Arabidopsis thaliana: one gene and its partner. The protein of the gene in region 1 interacts with the protein of each later gene in a pairwise test. Each region holds a gene or a part of one and is shown on either strand. Other genes may lie near its edges.

Region 1 (4,866 bases):
AGATAATTAACGCAAGTCACAAACTCACAATCTAACACGTTCTCCTGTCTCTGTGATTATTGTAAGATCGACAGATTTATTTCTTCTATTCCAAAACAAGCACTCGATTAATATTTACTTACACGTGATTACCATTTTCTTACTATTTTATTTTATGGCACGAAGTTCCATTTCTTGATTATAAATTTTTAATATTACCGTACCAGAACGTTGACCCAAGTTTTCTATCAGGAAATTTGTTAGGAAATGACAAATTAGTGCTTGATATCATGCATGAATCATGATCAAAAGTTGGCCCCATGTTTTTAAAAACATGGGCTAAAATTTTGGGAAAAAATTAACGAAAAAAAGATTGATGAAATAATTCTGTCAAGTACATAATAAATTCATAATACGAGAATTACGTGAATAACCTAAATTTTGTATCAACATTATTAAAAAAAATAGTGTAGAGTTTCATAAATTAATAAAATAATTTAAATTCAAACTCTAATTAAATCTAACCTCTAGACTTTAAAATCTTAACTATAAATCCGTAATGCATGGAAACATTAATTCTTCTGTAAAACAATAAACAAAACAAAATGGTCAATTGTTTAGAAAGTTCAGTATTTTAGTTAGATGAAAAAGATTTACAATAATAATTGTGTGATTTATTGAGTAATGATCGGGTTTATTCACCAGCCATCAGGCGGCTGATCGGGCCAGTTAACTAACATAAGGTCTGAATAAAAATGGGCCGAATCAATAAGGCTCGTCAATCTCAGTCTTGTGCTACATGTATTTTCACTTCTTCCACTTCCAAGTTCAAACAAATTTCGCCAAAATGGGATTACCTTTATGAACCAAAAGACGACCAGGGGACCTGACTTTATCGGTGTTAATGTTTCAATCATACTAAAATCGACAGAAATTAAAGTAGTGGATCCACAAATCTTACATTTTTATTAGAATAAGAAGTTTACTTATACAAAGAGATGATGACGTGGCCATGCAAGCTTTTTGTTTTATTACGTAGGCCCTCGGCTCCAAAAGTTTGTTGAGACTTCGAAATCTTGGAATTAAAGCTTCTCGTTTTCGAGGTCAAGCGTACATGTTAAGTCATTTTTATTCGTAAAGTGATAATAAGCTTTTTAAGTATCATCAACTTTCATCACTTATACATAAAATTCATTTAATTTACTCTTTATACGTATGACACTTAACCAAAGCTTTTGCTATTTAATCATTTGGCTAACTAACACTTCTTTCTTTCTTTCTTTTGGTAGGTTGCGGAACTAATTAACGCTACTCTTTCAAAGTTAATTTTTTTTACTGATAGTGTTATGTTTCCACAACAGTATGTTGCGTGAGGTGACGTCTATATGCTTATGACTATAAGCTAGCAGCTTAAACTATGTACAAAAATGTACAATGTCATTATTGTGATCACAAAATTGGTAGTTAGTTAATGTCATATATATATATATATATATATGTGTGTGTTTTAATTTTGTTAGGTACAGAGGCACTCTTGTAAATAAAAACTACCACTAAAATCTGAATGTTTTGTGCATTAAAAAAGAAAGAAAGATAAAACCTCGTACCGATCTGAATAATTTTTTATCAATGAAGTCACAATTTTGTACGTTGATGAAGTCAACACGTGGCAAATTACAAACTCGACAATTTCCTCAAGAGAAACAAAAAAAATCCCTGAAAAATTCCTCAAAATTTTCTTAATTTTCGAGATAAATTGATTTAAAATAAAATAAAACAGAAAGATACGCAATGAAACTGCGTTTTCAAGCAAACTGCTAAATTTCTATCTTTTTTTCTCTCTCTCTCTCTCTCTATAAGGGCTCTGCTTCTTGTACAACAGCCGAAACAATTATACCATGACATTAAAATCCAGATTTTTTTCAGTCATTTTCGTATTATTTGTTTAAAAGTAAAGTTTTTCTTCCATCAAAATGGAAAATGTGATCTGGTTTTTTTCTTAGAAGATATTAAAACAATCGGAGAGAGGATTGCAAATTTTTTATTTTTGTTAATTTGCTGTGTGATGGGTCTGGTTGATTCTTTGTTAGGAAAAGATGCAAGAAAATTTCTCAAAAGGAAAGATAGTGATGCTGCAGAAGCAGGTACGTCATTATTATAACAACAATTCATGAATCTGCCTCCATATTCTTCATTTGATTTGCCTCATCATAATTCAGATTTCTCATGATCAAAAATGATGCTTTATTTATTCCCACGTTGTCTCTGTTCTTCACCGTTTAAGTTAAATGGTTTTGATCGGATCTTTAATGGTTTTGATCGGACCTTTAGGCTTTTTTGATCTGTTTGTGAATTTGTAGGACGAGCTTTGGAAGAACTCAGAAGTTCTTTGTACAATGAGCTTAAAACATCAGAAGGAGCTAAAAGGCAACAACAGAGATTTTGTGGCCCTGTTGTTGCAATGTCCTTTAATTTCGTTGTTGCTGTTGGAATCATCCTTGCCAATAAATTAGTAATTTGGTTTCTTCAATCTCAAATTCTTCTTTCTCTTTTTTTTATTTACCATGTGAATGTAATTGTAAGGTTGAATTGTGCAGGTGATGGGAAGAGTTGGATTCAATTTCCCAATCTTTCTAACATTGATTCATTATACCGTGGCTTGGATTCTTTTAGCTTTCTTCAAGTCTCTCTCTTTGCTTCCAATGTCTCCTCCATCAAAGACAACACCTTTCTCATCTCTTTTCTCTCTTGGAGCTGTCATGGCCTTTGCTTCTGGACTCGCTAATACCAGTCTCAAACACAATAGGTTCATAGCTCAATCGCTAAAGTTTGAATCAAGATTCATAGCTTAAGCTTGAAAGCTTTTGTTCTTCTTTGTTTCCAGCGTTGGATTCTATCAAATGGCTAAGATCGCAGTTACACCAACGATTGTTCTTGCCGAGTTTGTTCTCTTCAAGAAAACCATTTCTTCCACAAAGGTTTCGCTTATATCTTTTATGACATGTCAACAAAACAATCAAGAATTCATTACATGTTTTTGGTGCTTACTCTGTTTTTGCAATTTGTCCTCTTACAGGTCATGGCATTAGCTGTAGTATCTCTAGGTGTGGCAATCGCGACAGTGACGGATCTAGAATTTAATTTGTTTGGTGCATTAGTTGCTGTTGCTTGGATTATTCCAAGTGCCATTAACAAAATACTCTGGTCTAATCTTCAGCAACAAGCTAATTGGACTGCCCTAGCGTAAGAAATAAGAATCTCTCTCTTTTACTTTTACTTGAGGTGTAAGCAATACAAGTCTCTTAAAATAAAGGCTTTATTGAATGTAGATTGATGTGGAAGACAACACCGTTTACTGTCTTCTTCTTGTTGGCTCTCATGCCATGGCTTGACCCACCTGGAGTTTTGCTTTTCAAATGGGATTTAACTAACTCTTCCGCAATCCTCATCTCGGCTCTTCTCGGCTTTCTTCTCCAATGGTCTGGTGCACTCGCTCTCGGGTTAGTCTTTTTGTTCTCTTGCTTTGGTTGGAAGTTCAGTCTTGAGGTTATAAAATGCTAACTAAATTTGTTGTTTCTTACAGGGCAACATCAGCAACATCTCATGTAGTATTAGGGCAATTCAAGACATGTGTGATCTTGCTTGGAGGTTACGTTATCTTCGGCTCTGACCCTGGTTTCATCAGCATCTGCGGCGCTATCGCAGCTCTTGGAGGCATGTCTGTCTACACGTGGCTCAATCTTCCGGGGAAATCCATCGATCACATGTCAAACAAGCAGCTGCCAAAGCAAAACGTCACCGTTTCAAAACCTAAAGCCGAGGCTGACGACGGAGGAGGAGAGACCGGAGTAACCGTAGTTTCTGTTGACCCACTTCTCTCCAAGACGATAACTGCAAATATCGTATAGTTTTACAATTTGATTAGATTGCCAAAGAGAAAAAAAATGAGTTTTACTTTTTCTTCTTCAGGTTTTAGTTTGTAAAATTGGTTCAGTTTTGATATCAAATTAGTGTAGTAAAGTATACTAATAAAAATATTTTGATATCATAATGTGACAAGAGGGCTTGGTGGGTTTATTTGTACGATAATGAAATAGATGGTGTAGTTTAGAAGTAATGTAAAACTTGATGTGTATTTTTTTTTTTGTCGTCACTTGATGTGTATTATGAGGTGCAATTAGTAAATATAATAAACCTTTTTGACTTTTTCTATAATTTCAAAAACTTTAATGTAGTAAAGTGAAAACTTGTGGGGAATAGGGTTTTCGGTGATAAAATCGGGCTGACCCGAACCCGGTTTAGTGCGAGATTCCACTGTCCGTCGTTAACAAAGGAGCTAAATCTCAGAACGATTTCTCGATTTGCTTTTGCGACATTATAATTTTCCTTTCAATTGACTCAGTGAGTCGCCGATCGAGTTAGAAATGGGAATGGGAAGTAACGGAGAATTGAAGTATGAGATCTCCCAGAACGCGTACATCAAACTCGTTCTTCACTCGCTGCGACACAAGACGGCGGCGGTCAACGGAGTCCTCGTCGGTAGAATCAGCCCTAAGGACGACGGAGTTGTAGAGATCTCAGATTCTGTGCCGCTCTTTCACTCTAACCTCGCTCTCCTTCCTCCTCTCGAGATCTCCCTCATCATGGTTCGTATCTCTTCTTATTCGAATCGATTTGATTTTACGAGCTTTGAAATTGAATTTTGAAAGAGATTATGATCTGATTGCATTGGTATGTATATTGAATTACGAATTCTGGAAATTTTTAGTTCGTGTACTAAGCTTGAGCTGCATATGTTATTATTAGCTTGTTCTTAGTTTTCTATATGTTTGCTTGATTCTCAGTGAAGTCTTATTGTTGTTTCTATATTAACATAGAAATTTCAGA
Region 2 (4,720 bases), on another chromosome or scaffold:
AAAAGCAAGAATCCATAGAGACTATATCTTCAACAACACAAGGTCATTATCCAGTATGAACACATGTATATTCAACACAAGGTCATTATCCAGTAAGAAAAGCAAGAATCCATAGAGACTATATCTTCAACACACAAGGTAATCATCCAGTAAGAACACATGTATATTCGACGTAATTTCCTCCCCATAAATCACTACTCAAGAGTCAGGAATAGAACCAAAAAAACACCTTTAGCTCAAATGTAGGAGATAGCACTTTGTATCAATACCTGGCTGAGGAAAACAATGCCAGCTTGTTGGGAATTTAACAAACGAAGACCGGTTTTGATTCCACTAACAATATTATCAGCATTTTGGAAATGCACTTCTAACAGAGATGGAAACTGTAGAAGTAAGCTCGCCAATGCTGGGATAATCTCATCGAACCATCTCTTTGATTCTTTCTCATCAATCAACTGCGAGTACCAAAAACTTAGTTCCACTACTCAATTCGATTTGAAGATACACTCAAATCCAAAAGCAATCACCATAAAGTTAAAAAGAGATAATTACTTCGTCAAAGAGAAATGCGTAGCCATTAGAAGCAGATGGCTCGAGAGTAGAGAAAGATAAGGATCGTCTCATATCGAAAATAGCTTGCCGTAGAACCTCTCCTGAGTCAACTTGGCTGTGAGATGGTCCTTCAGACATTGCCTTTAACGCCTCCACCACACGCGGCGGCCAATACAGCGACGACGAACGAATTACAAGTGGAAGGTACGGAAGAATTGAGTTAAGATCTTCGCGATTCTCCATTTTTCGATTTTTCTAATCTCACAGCTGTTCTCAATTGCTTTTGAAACAGGTTTACGAATCGCTTCTGCGACAAGATTCTGCTGCCGCTAGAAGATACTCAAGTCCCGGAGTAAAAAATCTAAAAAAGTCAAGAGTGCGAAGGCGAAAGGCAAACCGGTTTTGTAGAACCGGGAAGTTGGAACTTGAACCATATCGGTAATGTATTGGTTTAGTGGCAATAACATCCTCGTTAGCTATCTGGTTAACTCATTTTAAGTTAAAAGCCAGTTTCGAGTTATTTCACACTCACCAGTTTGGAATCTTGATACAGACAACGAACGTATTGACGGAAAACGCTAAAAGAAAGTGACTGGAAAATAGAAGGTGTGTGTAACATAACATTTATTTTTTTCTAACGTGTAGGAAACGGTGGCTCACTATGGAACCCACAGCGTAGACTTTGACTTATCAACGCTTACATAGTCAAGTCAATAACAAAATTCGCTATATCAATAATACAGTTTTGCAACTTTCTATATTCACATTTTCTACTTTATTATTTTCCCATAAAACTTCCTGGAAGAATTTAAATCAAAAAAAAAATGTACAATTTAGCCCATTTCACAGGTCAGGATTATCAGTTTTTATAATGGTTTTTTCTTCTTTAGACTTTAATTAAAAACAGAACTCTTATTAAGAATATACAAATAATTCAAAAAGTATACGCTGAATCAATGTTTCTCCAAAACCATTGATAACTAAATATCATAATATAAAATACAATTTTGTTAGGAGATCTTATGTAAGAATTCAGTAATCTATCATTAATATCAAACTAATCAAATAAAATACTAGCAATAGAAAACCCCATTTTTTCGATATGAAACCGGGGCTTGGATGGATCCCTTGAACAAACCATAAATTTTTCAAACTGTTAATTTAAGTTTACCAATTATATGTATAAGTGTATAACAATATTAAGAAATTAACTTGTGAATATATTTTGTAACTTTATTTTTTTTGGGTCAAATATATTTTGTCACTTCAAAAATAAAGTTTTAGAAGAAAAAAAAAACCACGAAACACGTAAAGATTTCTCAATAGATTAGTACCAGTTGCTGACCATAAATAGACAGAGTGTAGACTCCGACAACATCCACAAGAAGAAACTTTCTCTAATTAAAATGGCTGTTCCCACGGGAAGCGCCAATCTCTTTCTCCGGCCTCTCATCCTCGCCGTTCTCTCCTTTCTTCTTCTCTCTTCATTCGTCTCCTCTGTTGAGTGGCTCGATATCGATTCCTCAGATCTCAAAGCTCTTCAGGTCATCGAAACAGAGCTCGGAGTCAACAGTCAACGTTCTTCGGCCAGTGATGTCAACCCTTGCGGTCGCCGAGGAGTTTTCTGCGAGAGACGGCACTCTGCCACCACCGGAGAATACGTTCTCCGTGTCACGAGGCTCGTCTACCGATCCAGGAGCTTGACGGGGACTATCTCTCCGGTCATCGGAATGTTGTCGGAGCTCAAGGAACTTACTTTGTCTAATAACCAGTTGGTCAACGCTGTTCCGGTGGATATCTTAAGCTGTAAGCAACTTGAAGTTCTTGATCTTCGGAAAAATAGATTTTCCGGTCAGATTCCGGGAAACTTTTCTAGTTTGAGCCGTCTTCGAATCCTTGATCTCTCTTCGAACAAGTTATCCGGGAACTTGAATTTCTTGAAGAATCTACGCAATCTGGAGAATCTCTCTGTTGCAAACAATCTCTTCTCAGGCAAAATCCCGGAACAAATTGTGTCGTTCCACAATCTCCGGTTCTTTGATTTCTCCGGAAACCGGTATTTGGAAGGTCCGGCTCCGGTTATGAGCAGTATCAAGCTTCAGACATCTCCACATCAAACAAGACACATTCTTGCTGAAACTCCAACTTCAAGTCCCACGAACAAACCCAACAACAGCACTACATCAAAAGCTCCAAAGGGAGCTCCAAAACCAGGGAAGTTGAAGAAGAAGAAGAAGAAGAGCAAGAAGAAGAAAGTAGCGGCATGGATCTTAGGGTTTGTCGTTGGAGCCATAGGAGGAACAATCTCTGGGTTTGTCTTCTCGGTGTTGTTCAAATTGATTATTCAAGCAATAAGAGGATCAGAAAAACCACCAGGTCCTTCCATATTCAGCCCATTGATCAAGAAAGCTGAAGATTTAGCTTTCTTGGAGAATGAAGAAGCGTTAGCTTCTCTGGAGATCATAGGAAGAGGAGGTTGTGGAGAAGTTTTCAAAGCTGAACTACCAGGAAGCAATGGGAAGATCATAGCTGTGAAGAAAGTGATCCAACCGCCTAAAGACGCCGATGAACTAACAGATGAAGATTCCAAGTTTCTGAACAAGAAAATGAGGCAAATTAGATCCGAGATCAACACAGTCGGCCATATCCGGCACCGGAATCTTCTCCCATTGTTAGCACACGTGTCAAGACCCGAGTGCCACTACCTCGTTTACGAGTACATGGAAAAGGGGAGTTTGCAAGATATATTGACTGACGTACAAGCTGGAAATCAAGAACTAATGTGGCCAGCGAGGCACAAGATTGCTTTAGGTATAGCTGCAGGGCTTGAGTACCTTCACATGGATCATAACCCACGAATCATTCACAGAGACTTAAAGCCAGCCAATGTTCTTCTTGATGATGACATGGAAGCCAGAATTTCAGATTTCGGACTGGCAAAGGCAATGCCAGATGCAGTCACACATATTACAACCTCGCATGTTGCAGGTACTGTGGGATACATAGCACCAGAGTTTTATCAAACCCACAAGTTCACAGATAAATGTGATATCTATAGTTTTGGAGTGATTCTTGGGATTCTGGTGATTGGGAAGCTTCCTTCAGATGAGTTTTTTCAGCATACTGACGAGATGAGTCTGATAAAGTGGATGAGGAACATAATAACATCGGAAAATCCTAGCCTTGCGATTGATCCGAAGTTGATGGATCAAGGATTCGATGAACAGATGCTTCTGGTTCTGAAGATCGCCTGTTACTGTACTTTGGATGATCCAAAACAGAGGCCGAACAGTAAAGATGTCAGGACCATGTTGTCCCAGATCAAGCACTAGTGTTTCAATATGTATTGTTTGCTTCTATCTATATTTCCTAGATTCCTGTTGCATACGAAATAACTATGAACACAATCTTGGCAGAAATTTGTAATGGCGACTGTAAAATTTAAATGGATTTCAATTATGATTATTGCTCTAAACATAAATCATCAATCTACTATAAGAATCTTAGCTATATACATAACGGAAAAGAACACTTGATTAACAACCTTAAAATGACAACACATTACATGTTTGGTTACTTGTCTTCTCTATATGCAGCCGGTGAGAATCTCCCTCAAATATTCTAGCTGTTCATGACTGCCTTCATGTTCTTCCCACTAAAAATAATAAAAACAAAGTCAACACATGTTCAGTATGTACTCCTGATTGAGATGGGAAAACATATCAATTATGCAAGAGCATGTGAGATCTTTTTACTATTGAACAGAACAAGTATTCTAAAAATGGAGACAATTTCTTATCCTAGCAACTCAATTTTATATCAGTTTCCATTTTTCAACGTTATAGACCCACCTCTTGAAGAGACAGAGATACCACTTTCCATCCAGCAGCAGCAACATATCGCCGCTTCAGCATTGTATGCCCTAATGGTAGTCCTGTAGAACACAAGAGTCGAAATGATCATTAAGTTTGGGTTGGCTCCACCAGACACCAATATATATTAAGAAACAGAGTGATGTCACTTACCAGAGTTTCTTGAAAAATGAGTTGGCCCGTCGATTTCTAAAGCAACTTTCTTCTCGACCAGAGCAACATCCACGGTGTAGCCATCCACATCATGTTCTTTAGCCCAATCAAGCCCTGTACTTATAAGAAGGCGTCCAACTTCT

The links. Proteins that work in one complex are often made in the same cells at the same time.
Region 2: the proteins of AT5G55950 (region 1) and SOBIR1 interact in a protein complementation assay, tested with the Arabidopsis thaliana proteins (one large-scale study listed by BioGRID).

What each region holds. Positions count from the first base shown.
Region 1 is NC_003076.8:22,657,432-22,662,297, reverse strand, and holds AT5G55950 (Nucleotide/sugar transporter family protein), read left to right. Parts: upstream 1-1,792; 5' UTR 1,793-2,044; coding exon 2,045-2,123; intron 2,124-2,271; exon of another isoform or gene 2,272-2,339; coding exon 2,340-2,491; exon of another isoform or gene 2,492-2,576; coding exon 2,577-2,785; intron 2,786-2,863; coding exon 2,864-2,957; intron 2,958-3,055; coding exon 3,056-3,222; intron 3,223-3,308; coding exon 3,309-3,479; coding exon of another isoform or gene 3,480-3,540; exon of another isoform or gene 3,541-3,562; coding exon 3,563-3,887; 3' UTR 3,888-4,186; downstream 4,187-4,866. Other genes in the region: emb2731 (Uncharacterized protein family (UPF0172)), read left to right, coding at 4,404-4,625.
Region 2 is NC_003071.7:13,552,962-13,557,681, forward strand, and holds SOBIR1 (Leucine-rich repeat protein kinase family protein), read left to right. Parts: upstream 1-1,932; 5' UTR 1,933-1,958; coding exon 1,959-3,884; 3' UTR 3,885-4,016; downstream 4,017-4,720. Other genes in the region: TEJ (Poly (ADP-ribose) glycohydrolase (PARG)), read right to left, coding at 270-455, 553-795; RAP, read right to left, coding at 4,139-4,207, 4,404-4,486, 4,578-4,720. UniProt on the Arabidopsis thaliana protein: Dual specificity kinase acting on both serine/threonine- and tyrosine-containing substrates. Acting as a counterplayer of BIR1, promotes the activation of plant defense and cell death.